2 linked regions of the Styela clava genome follow. The protein of the gene in region 1 interacts with the protein of each later gene in a pairwise test. Links are inferred from orthologs where the notes say so. Each region holds a gene or a part of one and is shown on either strand. Other genes may lie near its edges. The genes, in order: 5'-3' exoribonuclease 2-like and TAR DNA-binding protein 43-like.

What was found.
Region 2: the proteins of 5'-3' exoribonuclease 2-like (region 1) and TAR DNA-binding protein 43-like interact in binary tests that used the Homo sapiens proteins (3 or more experiments, as listed by UniProt). The link is inferred for Styela clava from reciprocal best matches to the Homo sapiens genes XRN2 and TARDBP.

Annotation. Positions count from the first base shown.
Region 1 is NC_135251.1:27,216,039-27,226,384, forward strand, and holds the start of 5'-3' exoribonuclease 2-like, read left to right. Parts: upstream 1-5,522; 5' UTR 5,523-5,612; coding exon 5,613-5,687; intron 5,688-6,349; coding exon 6,350-6,477; intron 6,478-6,851; coding exon 6,852-6,963; intron 6,964-7,352; coding exon 7,353-7,414; intron 7,415-7,681; coding exon 7,682-7,793; intron 7,794-8,137; coding exon 8,138-8,227; intron 8,228-8,538; coding exon 8,539-8,680; intron 8,681-9,405; coding exon 9,406-9,617; intron 9,618-10,033; coding exon 10,034-10,225; intron 10,226-10,346. Other genes in the region: uncharacterized protein LOC120336859, read right to left, coding at 1-2,376. UniProt on the Homo sapiens protein: Possesses 5'->3' exoribonuclease activity. May promote the termination of transcription by RNA polymerase II.
Region 2 is NC_135253.1:15,479,558-15,489,454, reverse strand, and holds the start of TAR DNA-binding protein 43-like, read left to right. Parts: upstream 1-5,885; 5' UTR 5,886-6,017; coding exon 6,018-6,147; intron 6,148-6,723; coding exon 6,724-6,864; intron 6,865-7,350; coding exon 7,351-7,511; intron 7,512-9,897. Other genes in the region: short transient receptor potential channel 5-like, read left to right, coding at 450-605, 736-857, 1,181-1,373, 1,659-1,780, 2,883-3,192. UniProt on the Homo sapiens protein: RNA-binding protein that is involved in various steps of RNA biogenesis and processing.

The sequences.
Region 1 (10,346 bases):
AGATCGTGTCTTAATCACATTTACATCCCGAGAGTTGATTACAAACTCATTCAGCTGCTCCTTCAATGCCTGATTTTCATCCTGTAATCCACCATTATTTGACTTCAAAGTGACAATTTCTTGTTTGAGTGAAGTAACTTCTTCGGTCCATCTCTTGCTTGAAGTTCCATGAGTTTGCTTCAGTTCCTGATACATTTGTTTATATTTGCGATATTTGGAGCGATGAAACTGCATGCTCTCTTCCATTTTGTCGAGCCTGACTTTCAATTTGCTTGCCTGTGCCTGTTCTTCTGCATCTGGATCAGCAATTGCCATGAACAACTGTTCAAGTTTGGACATGAAATTTCCACCAGTTTCATCACCGGCCTCATTAGCTTGACCAGACAATTCTCCACTTCCCACAGAAGTCTGTGGGGCATTTTTCTGAATCAGACCATCTTGGGAATCACTAGATGCCGAATCTGGCTTTGCAGCCTTTGCTGGTGTTTTCTGTCCATGGATTTTTTTCATTTTCTTTTCCAGCTTATGACATTCCATATACTTTTCTGTATAAGCAGTAGCCCCCATTGAGAGACGCGTTCGAAGATCCTCAATCTGCATTTTCAATTCTTCGATGGTTCTATCTTTCGCGAGCAGATCATCATCTTTTTGTGAACTGGACACAGGGCTTTTTGGTTCAGTATTAGTTCCGCCAAGGGTCTGTGTACTGATTTCCAATTTGTCATTATCCGCCGAGGCAGCAGTGGCCACAGCCATGTCTGCACTTTCCAAATGTGACTTTAAGATTGATATCTCCTCTTTCAAGTTTTCCTCCATTTGTTTAGCTTTTAATTTCTCATCTGTGATGTTGCACATACTCTCTGCCAACTTCTGTTCAGCATCTTCTGCTTTCTCCTTCATGTCATAGAAATTATTTTCAAATTCATTGAGTTGTCTTTGTGTCGATTCCAGTTGTCGAGTCACATTGTCCCGTTCTTGTTTCACTTGGTGAAGTTCTGACATTAATTTGTCTCTGCAATCACGAGCTTCAGTCAACTCTGTGGAAATGAGACGTTTTGAAGCTTCACATGCATTTAGCTTATCTTCAATATTACCAAGCTCACTTTCAGCTGTAGATTTTTGAAGAACGGAAAGTTTGTTGGATTCTTTCAACTCATTTCGTAGCATTTTAGCTTTTTCTTCGAGTGCCAATAACTTCTGATTTTTCTCAATGATTTCTTCATTTTTGGCTTGAATTTCGTTTTTCAATTTTGCCATGTTCTGCATGATATCACGTCGAGCTTCTTCAGAATGTGCGAACTGATCTTTAAATAAATCTCTTTCTTCCTTATATCTGACAGCCTTCAACTCAGCCTCCTCCTGCTCTTTTTTAATTTTATCCATAGACTCTTGAGCTTGTGTGTTTGATTGCGAATTTTTCTGCTGCAAATCATCCGATTTGAGCTCTAATTTCCGCAATTTTTCCTTCATTTCTTGCATCAAACCATCAGATTCAACAAGTTTTTGATCTTTAGAATGAATTTGCTCATTCAGTGATGAAATTTCTTCCTTGTGACTCGTATAAGCCTTTTCGAGATTTTCTTTCATTCCCAATGTTTCTTTTGTCAGTTTCGCAATTGCAAATGCAGCGCCATCCAGTTCAGCCTTTTGTTTTGCCAGTTTTACGTTTGCTTGTTCAATTTCTGAATTCAAAGTTTTCAGTGATTCCTTCAAATTGTCAATCTCCTCTTCTAGTTTTTTACAATGTTTTTCTTGATCCTCATTAGCTTTCTTTGACGATGCCAATTCATCTTGAACTTTAGCCAAATCGCTCAACAATGCTTCTTTCTCATTTGTCAACTCATTGATTTTGCCTTCCAACTTTTCTTTCTGGGATGTTATGCGTTCAACTTGCTCCTGTAGAGCAGCCGTCTTTGTTTTTAGGACAATCATACCAGTTTCATCCTCAACTTCCACAAGCTGATCTCCATCTGTCAAATTGCGAAATTGAAAAGGGGTACTGGCACCATGAATGTTTCCTTGCTTTGATACATAGCAAAACTGATAAAACTCATTTTCATCATTAGGCAAGTAATAAGCTGTGAACTCAACAGTTACGCTTCTGTCTTTTGCATCGTTTGACAATTTTGGAGCCCACACGAATGTGCAATATTCTCTTGCAGTTGTCCATCCAACTTTGAAAAGTCCAATCCAATCTCTTGAAGATGGCTCAAGAGAAGACGCGAGGACGTAGCTGACACAAACATTTTTGCCAGGAGGAAAATAGTCTGAAATATCAGGAAATACCACCTGGGAAAAGCTGCTTGAAATGTCCTTTGAAACAGCAGAGTCTGGTATATGTGGCACATCAGATGACATTTCATCACATGTTGCCATCGCAATATGTAAAACTAAATATGGTCAAATCTGGTAAAAAAAAAACACAAGAATTTTTTTAATTAAATTCAACAAAATGAGTATCTTTTCCCTGTATTAACACTTTCAAACTTTAGAATGTTGAATTCAAAACAAATTCAAAATCAATCAAAAATAGAATCAATAATCTTAATTTTACTGTCTTAACAGGTTAATGAGAAGGTAAACAAGATTCCTAATTCTGACAATTGAATACAGAAATAAAAGTCTTGATATATTTCACAGTTTAAATGCACGAAAAATCTTTTATTTGCTCATACAGCTTGTTTATCTATTTCAGTACTGGTATTTCAGAAGAATGGTTGACTACGATAAAAATCGTATAAATGGATCAAAATATGCAGTGATATGAATCCCCAAGTAAAATGCTATGCTAAATAATATGGTAATTAGTTTAGCAAACAATTTTCTTGAAAACTTCAAACATGCTCATCAATTGGACTACTGGAATATAACATAAGTAATTGTACTGTACTATTTGGGCGTTTCCTCTTCCCCGGGACAAAAATGTCAATCCTATCCTGAACTCCATTCAGCCAGTGACAGAGTGATATCACGGATAACTCACAAATATGTCGGGCATATAATGATGTTTTTTTTTCAGAAATATTTGAGAATATAATCTTTATGTTTTTCTCCACATTACGTACTCTGCTATCAGGCTATCAACAACATTCGCCTCACAATATTGAAACCTACCTGTACTACAGTCAGACACTACCATAGCAGGTAAAGTTGAAAGTATACCAATACAGCAATACTGTAATCATGTTTCAACCAGAATACTGCAATAATAATCTCTGTCTGTCTGTATCCACAGATCCAGATACTGAGATAGCTGCCAAATCAAATTGCTTGCCTCATTTCAATGACAAAATACCGGTATAGAACTGTGGATTTATCCTAACCGAAAGCAAACGTGCGGTACGGTAGGTACCGCATGCTGGTATGGTACCGGTACCGGTACTAATGGGAAATTCTGACAGACTGAAGTAATTTCCCTCACGAGAAAATTAATTTAAAAAAATATTTATTGCCATTGCAAAATTTGAATTAGGCCTAGCGGCGAGTACCGGTAAACACAGAAACACAAAAACAGCATTTGCATCAACAAAATTAAATGTATAACGTTAAATGTGCAACAACAGAACACAAGGACGAAAGTAGTCTGGTGATGACTCTGACAACACAATTTCCACTGACATAACGCCTACCCTAGCAATGAGGTCGTGGGGGAAAGAACTAAGATAATAACCAGCTAATCCTCATCAGCGATCCTCTAAAATTAAACCCAGAGTAGCACCGGGTATGCCCCCGAGGACGCCAGTATGGCGCAAGAAGAAGGTAAAAACAAAAACACGAATCATGTGACCAAGTTCTTTTATTTACATACGTCTGTCCTTCTCTTTGTTGTTCACGTGACGTCATTCAAATGTAATGTACGGAGTCGCTATCCGATAAAATTTGGACGTTTCGTTCAAAGCAATATTTTAGGACAATGTGGGATTTTGATATTCATCCCGATCGATAGGGAAGACGGTTTAATCATATGGCGGATCAAGGTTACCCTGTTACCAGTCTGAGGCTGGATTTCAAATTTGCCAAGATTGGCTGACGCCTGGCGGGCATCTATATTCTATTTTGAAACCTTATTCATTTTTAAATCGATTCTTAATTGTAAAGTCGTTCCAAAATAAAACGGTATACCTGATATTTGTTTAATTTTGTAATTGAGTTGATAATTTGGTAATATTTCGTATTTCTCCGAACCTTTTTTATCGCGAATTCGTTTATTTAAAAAGATGATATGTAAATTTCATTTATCAGTAATCGGGTCATACTCCCCGCCCCTCCACATCTTCCGACTAAAATTATGTTTTGCGTGTTATTTGTCAGTTTTCAGTTGTGTTTCCAAAAATTAGTTGTAAATCAATTAACTTGATTATCATTATGTTTTTCAAGAACCTTTAGTTTAGGTGGCGCGGCGGTGTGGCTTAACGGGCTAAGCGTTAGGAATACGCTCGCCACCGCACCTCTAATTACTCTGCGTGGGTACGCAGGTTCGAACCCCATGCAGGGATGGTTATGTGAGAGAGGATTGCTGGACTCCTCGCCGTCGTTGGGTGGTTCACGTAACCGCTGGTCGGTTACGGCTTCCTCCACCACCAAGTCCATGCTTCCGAAAACGAACAATATAACTAATCCCATACCCGACTTGGAATGGTAACCGGACGAGGGGCCGTGGTTCGCCATATGGATAAGCCGTCTTATCGGTTTTCCTCTCCCCGGGGATAAATATGTAAATCCTAAGGTGCAATAATTAAAAATTGATACCGCAAACCAATGAGCAACTGCGAAAGACTAGCCTGAAATTAGCTATCAGGTCCGGTCATCCGGCACCGTACGGTACCTGTGAGCAGCACTTGGTTTAATGTTTTAAATAAAAATGATAGATAACTAACTCCCCAAAACTATAAAACACTCAAAATAAGCGTTTAAAATTTTGTAGTGGTCGAGTATAAGAATAATTTTTTTAGAGGTCAAGGGTCGGGGAAACCGACCATATGATAACTATTGAAAAATGAATTGCTTTCTTTATGCTGAAAATGTACATACCTTACATTTATTTGGACTTCTCCATATTGTAAAATGTATTTTCAGCTAGGTGCTTATTAGCATGTAAGAAGGTACCGATAGTGAATCTTGTCGACTTATCTTCACCCAGGAAAAATATATAATTATATAATTTAATATGGTGTGGCAAGTAATTTTTATTTATTTATTTTTTATTAACTACCAGTATGTAATTTTTCATGTTCCCTTTACTTAATAACTTCTATATGGTTGTGTGTGTGGGTGCGTGTGAGCGTGTGTGAAATATTTCAATTATTTTAGGTGAGTGAACACGTACCACATGTTCTTGGCAAAACCTTCCATCTTATATACATTCTGTACGTTTTAAACCTTATCTAAGGTTTTGTTCGCTCTCCTGATTTCATAATCAGTTTTTATTTATTTATTTTTAGCATTCATTTTATTGTTTTGCTGATTATGGAGTCGAAATAAACTTATACTTATATAAATCCTATCCCCATTTAAATTAACAGATTTTTAAAAGTTCCGAGCTAATTCAATAATTACGGTACAACTGCAGTGAGTGTTCAAGTGTTGGGTACGGTAATTGCGTAATTTGTCAAATGGGTGTTCCAGCATTCTTTCGATGGTTGAGTAAAAAGTATTCCTCAATCATCGTTCATTGCAATGAAGAGAAGGTGAATAAGTTTGAATAGGCCTAGGCTATTTATTTTCTATAAAAACACGTGAAAGTTTCGATTAATAGTGTATACCTTGTACTGTTATAACATTTTGTCCACTCTGGCAGACTGGGGTGTACTGCTGTAATACAGTAATATAAGCATTGTCATAAAATTAGCCGATATGAATTAAAATACTGCAGTACTGGAAGTACTGTAAGTACTGCTGTTGGCGCGGCGATGTGGCTCAACGGGCTAAGCGTTAGGAATACGCTAGCCACCACACCTCTAATTACTCTGCGTGGGTTCGCAGGTTCGAATCCCATGCAGGGATGGTTATGTGCGAGAGGATTGCTGGACTCCTCGCCGTCGTTGGGTGGTTCACGGAACCGCTGGTCGGTTACGGCTTCCTCCACCACCAAGTCCATGCTTCCGAAAACAAACAATACAGTAAAAACTAATCCCATACCCGACTTGAAATGGTAACCGGACGAGAGGCCGTGGTTCGCCATATGGATAAGCCGTCTTATCGGCTTTCCTCTCCCCCGGGATAAATATGTAAATCCTATCCTATCCTAATACAGTAATATAAGCATTGTCATAAAATTAGCCCATATGAATTAAAATACTGCAGTACTGCCTGATGAGGACTTTGTTTTTTTGATTAAATATATTTTCAGAAAAAAGAAATCAATGGAGTGGAAATTCCTGTTGACACAAGTTCACCAAACCCGAATGATGTAGAATTTGACAACTTATATCTTGATATGAATGGAATCATACATCCGTGCAGTCATCCAGAAGATCGGTAATCTTTAACAATGATAATCTGAATAAAAAATATTTTTGAGTTTTATAATTAATAATATTTTTATTTTTATAAGTTCTGTAAGTCAAATTTTGGCATATACTTGGTCAACATTGTGGGATGGGTTTTTTAAGTAGGTACGAGTTGTCAAATTTCTTGTACGTCTGATACTGATATTTATTATAAATTTATGAAGACATTGTTTTTCTTTAGTATTAATTTTCTCTTTGTCCATTCTCTGAAATATACTCGTATACAATATATTTACATTTTTATTTAATAGTTGTTACTTTACATTTAATCAACATAATGTCAATTATTATTTATATTTCCGATCTGATATGTGCATGTAACCAGTATTCAATTATTTTCAGACCGGCACCCAAAAATGAAGTTGAGATTATGTTTGCTATTTTTGATGCAATTGACAGAATATTTGGTATTGTTCGACCGAGACGTTTGTTATATATGGCTATTGATGGTGTTGTAAGTTTTAGTTTAATTTAAATCAATACGTATTGTAAACAGCCTACTGGTTGTCTACTGGTACCATATGTAAAACTAGCACTTTTTTTATTTCTATGTATATCATGGATGCTGTGCCCAAATGACTGGTTATATAAAATCGAGTCAAAAGCCTTAATGACTCCATTGGTCCTTCATACTTACATTTCAATATTTTTCAAGGGTACATGAATTTGCTTCGAAAAATATATATTAATAACAAACAAATAGCAATTGTATCTCTACCTCGAGGCGAGAAATAATTTTTTCCTACTGATTTGTCAAAATTTGGGTATGGTCTTTCGTAAAATAGAATTGTCTCCTGATTGGTTATGTAGGTAACTAAATACCACACAATTCTAATCATCTAGGCACCTCGGGCAAAAATGAATCAACAAAGGTCGAGAAGATTCAGAGCTTCCAAAGAATCAGCGTGAGTAATTCAAATTAGTATGACATTTAAAGGCAGTTGTTTTCATCTTTTGTTGATTTTAAGAGGGCGTTCATGGGCACATTTTAGGTGGTTGCTTATATAGTGCTATGATTTAACCCTTATTAGTGAACAGAATTACCATTTCTCAACAAAAATGGGTGGAATGAAACAAGACACGAAGTGAAATCTCTTTATGTGACATGGATATTTTTTTCAATTATCGGTAATATTCATTTTTTCATGATTCCTTGTAACATTTTTCTGAAGTGAAGCCAAAGATTTGAAAGAAGAAATAATTTCTGAATTGAAAGAAAGAGGAGCAACACTTCCAGAAGATGACCCCAAAAAAGAAAGATTTGATAGTAATTGTATTACTCCTGTAAGTATATGCTTCATCTATTTAAAATCCGCTTGTCGATATAGAAGAAATTCTTTTATGCACTCATATATTAATCTTTAGACACAAATAAAACCTGTAATATACAAAACTCATTTCTTAAGGTATATCGTGTGTTTGAAATTAATTCAGCCCAAAAGGGTGGACTTCTTGTCTCACAACATTAAAATGCTTTTCACACACTTGATGTAAATTATTCCACCATATGCATGAAGACCAACGACTGCGACTGTGAAACTCAATGCGTTCTAAAATTTATACTTTGTTTTTATCCTCGTTTTTATTTTTTTACGTAAAAATATAATGGGGGATTGAAATATTTTCAGGGTACAGAATTTATGTTTCGTCTTGCTGCCTGTCTACGATTCTACATTCAAGATAGAATTAACAATGATCCTGGTTGGAAAAACATAGAAGTAAATATTTTTGAATCAGCAAAATGTTATTACAGAAATTTAAAATATTGTCCTGTAAATAAGCTTTTCCTGATAGTATGGTAGTTGTTTAACCACTGTTTCAAACTATTATAATTTCATGAAAAATCATGAATTTTTTAACAAAACAAACAGGAATTTTTGACAAATTTTAAATAAGTTGGCAGGGCTTAAAAAGTTTGACGACCACTGTTCTAAATTGATAAATTTGTAATTTCGAAACTCACATGGAAACCTTCATATGGCAAAATATTATGTCTTGTTATTTAACAACATTCATATTGAAATTTCAGGTTATTTTATCTGATGCAAATGTACCAGGTGAAGGTGAACATAAAATAATGGATTTTATTCGACGACAAAGAGGACGAGAGTCTCATGATCCCAACACACATCACTGCATTTGTGGTGCTGATGCCGATTTGATTATGTTAGGTACGTTTGGGAAAATTAACATTGTATAACACCATTACTGATATCTTAGCTATCCTTTTCAAAGATTTTGCTGCATTATTTTTAAAAATTCAAAAGTAGATTGTTCAAATTTCAAAGAAATTTTTTTAATTTTTTGTGGTTACATACTCATTTAGAGCATATTACATTCTTTGATTTTGAATGCTCAGTATTGCACTTTATCTTCCGGTAAATGATAAGCAGTGATGGCGTTAAGCTCTCAACCGAATTACTGTCCCAAATACACCCTGAAACAGTTCAATCAGGTAACATCAATAATTATTCAGTTTATCAAAATCCACCATAATAGGAGTTAGCTTTAACAATGTTATCGTAGTGAGGCGTATACAAATAATTATACATATGGCATGTGTGATATGATTTGAAATTTAAAGCTTTCTTGCCTGTGAGGAATGGAGAATTGAAAACATATTTGGCTATTCTATTTAATTTTAACATCACTGGTGCTTCTCTGCATTATGAGATAGTCTCACTTGTTCAGATTAAGATTTATAAAATCAAAACTTGTGTAAAATATAAAAAATTTTGACTGTGTAAGTACTGTGAAATTATACGGGTATATTTGATTTCATATGTGTTCTATTATTTATCTGTTTCAAATTCTAATAGCAACACTTTTTGGACATTACCAGATTAAAATAGTGGTCTCAGCTGGATTTAATGCTTGAATAATTATCCAATTGCAGGTCTTGCTACACATGAACCATATTTCACAATTATTCGTGAAGAATTCAAACCTAACCAACCAAGACCTTGTGGAATTTGTTCTCAATATGGACACGAAATGGAAGATTGTTGTGGACTTCCCAGAGAAAAGCAAGGAGAACATGATGAATTACAAAAAACTCCAGTCGTCACTACAGATTATATTTTTATCCGATTAAACGTTGTACGAGAGGTATGAAATCTTGTCACTTGATAGCCATCAATGACATGAATAAAAACCATCAGTTACACTGGTATAAGTAATGATTTTTAGCAGCCATTGGACCATCAAAAGATAAGGAGTTCGAATATAACATTTTAGCGCTCCAGAATCCTCGAATTTTCCAATTTCCATATTTTCACAGATGTCTATATATTCAATTTTCACATTGCATACATGTATTTATTTTTATCTTTTCATTCCAAAGAAAATTTTACAAATGGCTTCTGATATGTATCATAAACTATTTTCGGAAGGTCGAACGTGGTTTGAACCCAAATATTACAAAAACATATTATTGTGTATTTTGAACAGTTGTCAACTGCTCTCATAAATTGTGGTTTTGCCAGCATTTCTTTGGACTCTATAAATGTATTTTTATATTATAGTATCTGGCGAGAGAGATGGCGATGCCTGGACTCCCATTCAAGTTTGATTTAGAAAATGTTTTAGATGATTGGGTTATGATGTGCTTCTTTGTTGGTAATGATTTTCTACCTCATTTACCATCGCTTGAAATCAGAGAAGGTGCAATCGATAAACTAGTGCGTCTATACAAGGACATTGTACATAGAACTGGGGTAATTTTTTTTTATTATTTTCAATTTTTGTGCTGTTTAAACTCAAGAGGCTGATTATCTATTATGTATATATTGTGAGGTTTTCTTTCACATTCTTCATAGATGAGATCATGGCTCCGAC
Region 2 (9,897 bases), on another chromosome or scaffold:
CAAAAACCATCAAAAACCTGGGTGAAATTTTAAATTGTTCGATGAAATGAATGCAGTCCAATAAAATTCCAATGTCTTTTGATATCAAAAATAAAAATAAATTACTTTCACTACACTTTTTAAAAAATTGGTGGAATTCAACTTTTGCTTGGAATGGCCCATATATGTTATTCTTTTCTGCTCCGGCCATTTCAATTTTTTTGCCGGTCCGCGAGTATATTTAAATAGAAGGGTAGAGTAGGAAAGGCCAGAGTTCCAGTTGGGAACCACTGGATCAGTCCATCAGTTGCAAACCACAGGTCCACTTCGCGTCGAGTAGTTTGTTGATTTATGTATGTTGTAATATACATGGGGGCTATTAGCCAAATTTGTCGATGGACATGAAGTGGACCTGGGGATCGTTTTGTTATTTTAAAATGTTTTAAAATACGAATATATATGTGCAACAGGTATCTGTTGACCGGATGATCGGAGACGTTTCCAAGTTTTTTCTCTTGTTCTTGGTTATTTGGTTTGCGTTTTCAAGTGGGATCAACACCCTCTACTGGAGGTACAGCGGTCAGTCGGACGGATTTCACAATTGCACCATGGACAAAAATAACAAGGTATGGAGACATGTCGTATAGTTGTATTTGATTTTATTTGTTATATATCCAATGAGATTTATATTGAGTTGGTAAAAGTTTCTTCTTACATCTAGTTTTAACGAATGTAACAGTTTCATTTTGTTCGCAGAGCAGCAAAGAAGACATACATTGCTGTTTTTCGGAGGAAGGCACTCAGAAATTCACCACTATCGTCAGTTCTTTGCAAGTTTGCTTCTGGTCAATATTTGGATACAGCGATGATTACAACAGGTACAAAACATTGTATACAAATTTAATTTCCAGACAGTATTCCTAATGCACATTTTCTGTAGATAGCACAGGCTCAGCAGTTGCTAATATAAATGGGTATATTAAATAACATCTTTTAATAACTTTTTTAAAAGTTAATCCAAAAGTACTTTTTTTATCACCTTGTGGGAACGGGATATTTTACAGAGTTCCATACCAAAGAGGTATTATACGCCCAGTCATGTCATTCAATATAGCCTTAATAATTCAGGTTGAAAAGAGTTTATGTTACAAAACATTTGATCACGAAGTGAGACACATATTTTGATTTCTTTTTTCTCAAGGTGGTTCAATTTAACGTGCGCAGATGAATCAGCAAAAAAAGAAATTACTGCAGTATTTGGAGAAACTGTTTTTGCTTTATATCATATCGGAACCGTTCTTATCCTGGTTAATATGTTGATCGCCATTATGAGTGGAACGCTGCAGAAAACGATAGACGATAGCGATATTCAATGGCAGTTTCATCGCACGAGGGTAAAACTTTAAAAGAAGTAGATTTGTTGATTCAGTGAATCGCGAAATTTTAATGACGTTGTCGTTTTTTTACTCCTAATCTTTGCTTATTTATTGCTTATTACTTTACCATCTTTAAAAAAAAATTAACTATTTACTAATTAAAAAATTTACTTCAAAAAAAAATTATTTACTATTATTTGAACGTATGTGGTTTGCAAAACCCACGTGGCACCATGGTTGTTTTGATTTCAAAATACTGAAATAATTTACAAACTGCATGGCATAAAAATAGACATTTTGCAGGTATGGATTCGTTTCATTAGGACAGGATTCTACCGACCTCCACCGATGAACTTGATTCCAAGACCGAAGGAGTTTGTCTATCTCGGCTCGTTCATAATAAAAGGCTTCCGAAAGCTTTGTAGGTATGTCTTTATTCCTAATAGGCTTACAATTTTAATCGTAATACTAATGATGATGCTTCAAAATTCGACGATGTGCCTCAGATTATCTTCGAAAATTTTTGAGGAAATATCTGAAAGAAAAAGTTTCTGTCATTGAAAAAAAAAAATGATAATATTATATGATTACTTATTAATGGTTGCAGTGATGTCCCTACTAGAGATGTACCGATGTATCGGGTATCGGAATCGACAATATCTGCCAATTTTTCGGTATCGGCTAAATTTAGACCGATATTTCCGATATATATTCAGCTTCTCCATATTATCCAAGGTGTTTTAAAAAAATAGGTTAGAATACTGATGTTTAAATTATTTTTTGCTTGGATAGATCGTGAACTATGAGCCATGTACGTCCCCCCCGGATTTTCCGATGTGTAAAATATAAAATACAACGTTATATTGGCACAAAATCCCGCGCACGTAACTCAATGTATCAGTTTCATATACGATAAGCAGGCTAAACATTTATGCATTTTACCACCAACAGTATAGCGAAATTCTATTAGTTTTCTAATTGGACACCAAGATTACTAGTGCCAGTGCTCAATGCTTTGAATCAATCAACGCATTTGGATCCCAAACATCAATTTCTATATATATATATATATATATATGATATTTCTCTTATTTGATCCAAAATTATGTGCACTATTAATGATGCTCGAAGACTATTGTTTTAACTCGTCTGCCCTACACACTTAAGTAATAATTACATAGAATCGGAATATCGGTATCGGCAATATCGGCCTTTCCAAATATCGACGCATTGATATCGGTATCGGCGTTTTTAGCTGATATCGGATCGGTATCGACGACAAAAATGGTATCGGTACATCTCGAGTCCCTGCATCCCTCCAACAGGTGGTGCACAAGGGTTGCTCCGCCATCAAAGTCCACAAATTTGCAACAAATAACTGTGTTGAAAGGGGTATGAAAAGTAAAACTGAGAGTGTGTCAATAACATACATACAACATCACTCCACAAAATGATGCCATGGTGAGTTTTTGATGTACCATTATGTCCCAAACTTTTATTTATGTCGGCATTTTTGCAATTTCTTAGGTGTATTCTGTGCAGAAGTACAGAAGATGTTAGCAGACATCCTGAACGGGCATATCAAGCGAATATACCAATGAATCAATACGGAAGACGAAACGACGCTAAGGCGCATCACAAAGCAGGAATGCTACAGAAAAATGGCAGTCCAGAGTCTCGTGCAAGTGGAGAAGGATACAAAGAGCATTGGTCACCTGGTAGTGCAGCGACAGAAGAAAAGTATTCTCGCTATGACGTCACCCTTAGGAAATGCGTCAGAAGATACCTAAAAGCGAATGGAGTTCATCCAGATGATCAACAAACAGCAAATATATGAGGCGGTACAACCATTCTATTTGCGCCTATTTCCACTAATCATGTACTTTTGAAGGTCATGATGATGAGACTGAATACACATCACGGTGGGAGTCGGGACATGTTGACACCACAGCTTTCAACAAAGGAGTAAAGCAAATTTGCGAGACGAAGCGTTTGACCGCCCGTCACGTACAAGCACTAAAAGAAAAGTAACGGGCAAAAAGATAAATTTCGAACGAAAAGAGTATATAAATATATTGGCTCTAATCTTAGTCCTAATTCCAAAATGGAATTTATTCTCACTGGACAGCTTATTTACTATATTAGGAATTCCATGTTTTCCTATTATCAGATTTCCAGTGTATAATAATATTTTTGTATTTCGTTAGCATTTGTAAAAATGAACTTATCTGTAATTGATTTCTATCTTTGTTGCACTGTTTTTTTTCACTTCTTGTCATATAAATGAGTGGAGTATATTTATAAATAAATTGGGTTTATTAATTTTTGGGGTACTCCCGAAGTATGTGAACCAAGATGGCGGACACCGGAACGTAGTATGTGAACCAGGCCATAATTTTATTCCAATTTTCCTTATTTTAGTTCTATTACGAGTTTGGGGACTAGCCAAGTGACTTCCGTAGTATTTGTACCGGAAATTATGGTCTAACCCTAACCTGGTACACATACGACGTACCGGTGTCCGCCATCTTGCTTCACATGCTACGGGAGTACCGATTTATACTTGAGTATATTGCCTTTCTCCCATTTTCTTTGTAGCTACGAGCTATTGTCAAATACACCAGTCAACAAATGAAATTTTAAGTCTTGCCATCTCCAAGGTCCGTTGCATACTCTAAACATGGCCTGTTTCTGAAAAATGTTAACATTTTCGTGGGATTGCAATCTAGCTAAAAGCTATTGGTTTGCTTTATTATAACTTACAAGCCTATTTTTACTAAATGTTTTCCTTGTCCACAGTAGCCACATATTATGTATACAAAATAAACAATCAATGACGGTAAAACCTTATGTAGCAGACCCTGCGTTGCTTTCATAATTTTGCACTTTTTGACTGAGATCAGAACGATCGTTTTGTCAACAAATTTTCTGCGCTATTCAACGTCTCAGGATTTACTTTGCCATCTTATACTGTATCTTTGTTTCCTTGATATTTTATGGGTTCTGTCGCCTATGTTAACCAGCATGATTTTGTTGTTTTTCTTTGAGATTGCACTTTTAATAAAAATATCTACTGAAGTTTCATATTGTCGAGATTACGTCCAAGAAAACATACATTAGTTGTGTTGTAGAAATGTGTTTCCAATGGTAGTTGTTGATGAAAAAAAGGCTAGGTTTTAGGTTTTGCGAATGTAGGATAATGAATATCACGTAAATAATGACCAAACTATCTTGGACGGCACGAGAAGGTTTTTTTGTTTTATCTTACATTTCATTTCATGACGTATGATCGTTGACCCTATCAAAAAACAACCATTTTCAGTATTAGAATTATCCTACCAATGCTGAAAGTGGTTGGGTAACGGTATTAGCAGAGAGTGTTTGTAAAAAGTTCGTCAACCTTATGCGCTTTTTCGGGAACTATGGTTACTGACGCCAGTGGATGGACTAACCTGGCAATCTCCTGCTCCCAAATTTCCGCTGTAATTCTACTTTCTTCTGAATCCACAAAAAAATTGCGATTGCATACCAAGCAAGGTATACAAAAAAAGTTGTCGATGTTGTGATGTCGTTGTTGGTAATGTTAAAAATGCATTTGGCAGCTGTTGCACAAAAAGTTAAGACGACTGACAGTAATGGTTGACAAGTAATGGTCACTTAGAATGAAGTTTGAATGATATAAACTGTTGTTGTTGTACCAAATATGAATATTTCGAATGTATCTGTTCAAGTCTTTTAATCAATGTCAAGAAATTTTAAAATGATTTATCATATTTTAAACACCTTCCTATTTTCTATGCGTATATTACGCCGGTAAAAATAAAAGCGGTCAGTTAGCAAGTCACAATTACAAATATGGTCAAAATAATTTTGATAGCAATCATTGAGATTATTTATAGTAGTAGCCAGAAGGTAGCGTCCACTGAGTAAAAACCTACGGTATATTTCTCAATGGACCTTTCCCCGACCTTTGACCCCCAAAAAATTCTTCTTATACTTTACCATTGCAAAATTTCCAGGCTATTTTAAGAGTACTTTTGTGAGTTGGCGCCTGTAAAATGAGGTATGTGTTTTGAACCATCATTATGATTGATCGCATACAACAATCTGTTTTTTAAAAGTACAGGTAAATAATTTTAGCCTAGTCTATCACAGCTATTTCCACACTGATTTTTAATTACTGCAATTAAAAAATTAAAACTTCTAGGAAAAGAGAGTGATCATTGAAATATCTGATTTATATTTAAGTTTCCGAAACACAACTGAAAACTAACGAATAGAGTTCAAAAACGCGAAAACGAGGTAATGTTTACGACCACGCTTGGAAATCGGTCTGAGTGAGAAAGGGGTCTGAGCGGATGCGAAAAGGGAGCATTGTTACGTCACTTTTTGCATTTTGCTGATTGGCCAATGTCACGAAGTAAACAAGGAATACGATGCTCGGGGAAAGGTTCCATCCGATCACCCAAAAAATTAGCAGGTAATAGGAATGCTCAATACTGACACCACATGGCGCCGACGAGTTTTTCGTCTCTTTTCAGTGGAATTGTTGAAATTGAGACTCTTCAGAGACAGAGAAACGCGAGTTCTGGAATTAGTGAAAGTGTACTGTTTTGCCTTAAGAATCTCGCAGTGTTCGAGGCCGCGAAATACTTAACAAGCATGTCTGTCTCACAAAGGAATTACAACATAAAGCAGGAAATATATATACGAATAGCTGATGACGAAAATGAGGAGGCTATAGAAATTCCAGGAGAATCAGATGGCACCATGCTATTGTCCAGCGTTACAGGTAAAAGATAAAAATACCCGTAATGCCGTTATTTAAAAAGATAAAGCAGTAGCTACTGGATAAATATTTTGTTAAGTACGGTACTCAATTCAGTAGGAAATCACTGACCGATAAATGGGCACAAACGCTTGCAGCGTTCGCTTTAAACTTTTCTCTAGGTTTTGCTCATTTTCCCGATCTTTTCGTTGCCCTTGTCTTTGTTTTTTATTTTGTGTTCAGTATTTTCATGTTGTAGACGGAAGATGAAAAAAAATAAAAACATATAATATGTGCACAAAGTGCTGAAGTGACTAACTTTTAAGCCTGTCAGCCTTAATTCTGTAATTACTCAATTACATTAATGAAATCACGGTACCGGTACGGTACCGTACAGGTAACACTAAACTCAACTCGGGTCTCGTGTAGTTTTGTGCCTAATCTAGTCTACTTCTGTACTTCTAGTGGGTGTATCATAATAATTTTTTCACATGTCAATCCTAACTCCCATCTGACTACACCATCCAAAACCATCGATACAACAGTGTTTTCCAAATTTGTCTCTTTTTATTTAACTTGCTGTTTTTCTCTATTTTTCAGCCCAATTTGCTGGGGCATGCGGTCTCAAGTATAGAAATGCTGACACTCAAACAATGAGGGGAGTGCGATTGGTTGAAGGTACATTTCATCCACCAGATGGTTCGTGGGGATCACAACTTTATATTGTTGTTTATCCAAAAGGTAAATTAATAGAAAAGGAATTCAGTATTCTGTGTAGTACCAAGACTGATAACTAACTTGTGCTATAAATTTTTCTGTTAAAATTACTACTTACTGAATCATGCATTGAACTGCTAGCCATGGGGTTCAAGAAGATAATTAATATTTTCATTGCTTACCTTTTTTTGGTCCTATTTGACAGCCCGTAGCATGTATATTGTCACTAGAACATTGCTAGAAATACAATTATGCAAGCCATTTAATATGATATAGGAAAAGTTGGTAGTATACTGTTTTATGTTATATTGATATAGTTTCAATTTTCAGTTGTTTGCATGTTCAATCAATACTATACTATTCTGGTTGGCAAGACCTGATTTATTGCACAAAATACACCCCTTTGCTCTTATTTCAATTACCAATGCCATGTTGGTTTCACTTTTTAGACATCTTGTTCAATTTTCCAATACACAATAATTTTTGTGAAAATTTCCTTCAATTTGGCAGATAATAAACGAAAGATGGATGACACTGAAAGTCAAGGAATCCGCAGTAAAAGGCCGGCACAAAAATGCTCGGACCTAATTGTTATGGGATTACCTTGGGAAACATCTGTCAACGATTTGAAACAATATTTTGGACAATTTGGTGAATTAGTTTTGGCACAAGTGGGTATTTTTTCAGTAAAATTTTTGTTTTGAGTGTATGATGTGCTATGTACATATATTAGTATATTTCATATAGGTACTGCTGATGCTTGTATATTTCTATTTGTATGATGTTTTTGTACTGCAGATTATCTGTTTATATTTTGCGATTGATTATTTTGTTTCGGTATATGAGTGCTATTATGAGTCCTAATGAAATATTTGCAGTATTTTTTTTCAGAATATTTTTTTACAGAAAATGTGTGTCTTTTTTGTTTTGTAACTAGGATATAGTTGCATTTCTGAAGTATTTTTAACATTTTGGTAAATTGCTTTATTCTAACTGGGCATTGTGTGATGAAGACATTGTTTGTAGGTTAGTTTGTATGGAAGAGTCAGAAATATGTTTTTGCTGGATTGATATAACAGTATATGAGGCAATTTGATTTGCTAAATTGACTGAAGATATGATTAGAGTTGAACATTATTTGAATCGGTTCAGCAGAAAATGTTGTATCCCCGTCATCTTTTTTATTTTATTTGGCCACACAAAGGTCGAGGTGGATTCCTCAGTTTTTGTCTTGAAGCTATAGTTTTATGATGTAATTTGGACATATGACTCTTTTCTTTTTTGTGAGATATTGATGAAACATTTTTCTCATTGTGTGTGAACTTTCAGCAAAATGTCTGAGTGATGGATTTCATGTTTTCAGTAATTTATGTGTTTGGAGGACCCATCACAATAAAAAGTCACATACATTCATATATCTTCCAAGTTCCGAATATTCAAGAAAATATTCGTTTGTATCTGAAATCATCACGAAAATGCCCATCCCTGGATATGATTGATCATCACAAGACTTTTTCAGCATTCATGTTGTGATAACAAACAATGAAATTTATGAGTAAAATATAGAACGGATGCCAGTTAGTGTAGCCTATATCTGAAGCAACCAGAAGTGTGCCCTGTATGATGATCATTCAAAAGTTGTTTGTAGAAATTTGAGCCATCTTTCTCATAACAAAATTTTCATTCTCCAACTTGAGAGTTTTATGGGATTGCCTGGGATCTTGACTGCACCTGATTTTTTTGAATAGCATTTATCATAGAATACCAAAGCCTATTTTCACATCAAATTTTGGGTGTATGTCTGGGGTATCACATGATAAATGGTATCGATTGTCCTGGGATTGCTGTGTTGTAAAATATGAAGTGAGATGTCAGTTATACAATTGATTGAAGAGTTGTTTGGACTTGATCATTGTAGTTGTTATCGACTGAAGCTTATTGAATGTCTGGTGAAATGATCAACAATCAGATCATTATGAATGAGGTATGGTGTATAATTTTTTGTGATTCAGTTATATTTTGATAATTATGTCAATAAAACCTTAATGATCTTCTGGTAAATAAATTATTGGTTGATGTAACATGTAATGAAAGAACTCATGTTCAAACATATCCACCACTTAGTCATGATGTGATAAAATTGTGTCTTATAATAGAGGCAAATACTTGGTTATATTTAAACAATATACATGTATTAAAATATACTTGGGGACTTGAATGGGAACTTGTGGAACCCCTGGACTGTACTAGCGCAGCACTAGAGTCCGCGGAACCCTGGTTGAAAATCACTGTTCTAGGACATAGTAGCTTCTTGTTAAAAGTTGAATCTCGTCAAAAATAACCGAGTTAATACAAGATGAAGAAATGATTTTCATGTTATTTTTTTTAATTATTGAAGTGTATTTTTATATTTTCAGGTACTGTTTAACTAAATCAGCCGTAAATCTAGCTCTTACTTGTAATGCCAAAATGTAATAAACATCAGCCAATAATTATTATATTTTTTTCAGGTTTAAAGATGGAAGAAGATCAAATTACCTGTCAAGAACAGTGGAATTTTTGACTGACAAATTTGTCATTTTGTCTTTTTATCCCTTAGAAAAAAAATGTATTTCAAAACACTGATTCATTCTATTGTTTTTATTGCTATTGAAGTTAAAATTTCATCATTTTCTTATTTTTTTTTATCACTCTATGACAAATTTTCTACCTATCTCATGGTGAAGGATTCGTCCATTTTAAATTAACAGGTGTACATATCAATATATTATGGGTTTGATCAATTTGTTAGACTGAATTGATCACATGTAATTAAACATGCATTATGCTTGTCAAAATACATGATCATTTCGAATATAAAATCTGTTCAGATAAATCAATCAGGATTCTATGCAACGAGGATGATTTTCAATTGAGTTCAAAGCATATTTCTAAAATTATTGCATTGTTATCCACAAATTACAGATGTTCAGAATTTAAATTAGATGAAAAACATGAATCATGATTTTATCACACTAATTAGAGTTTTAATATCTAAGCAGTTGCTTTTTGTAGTCC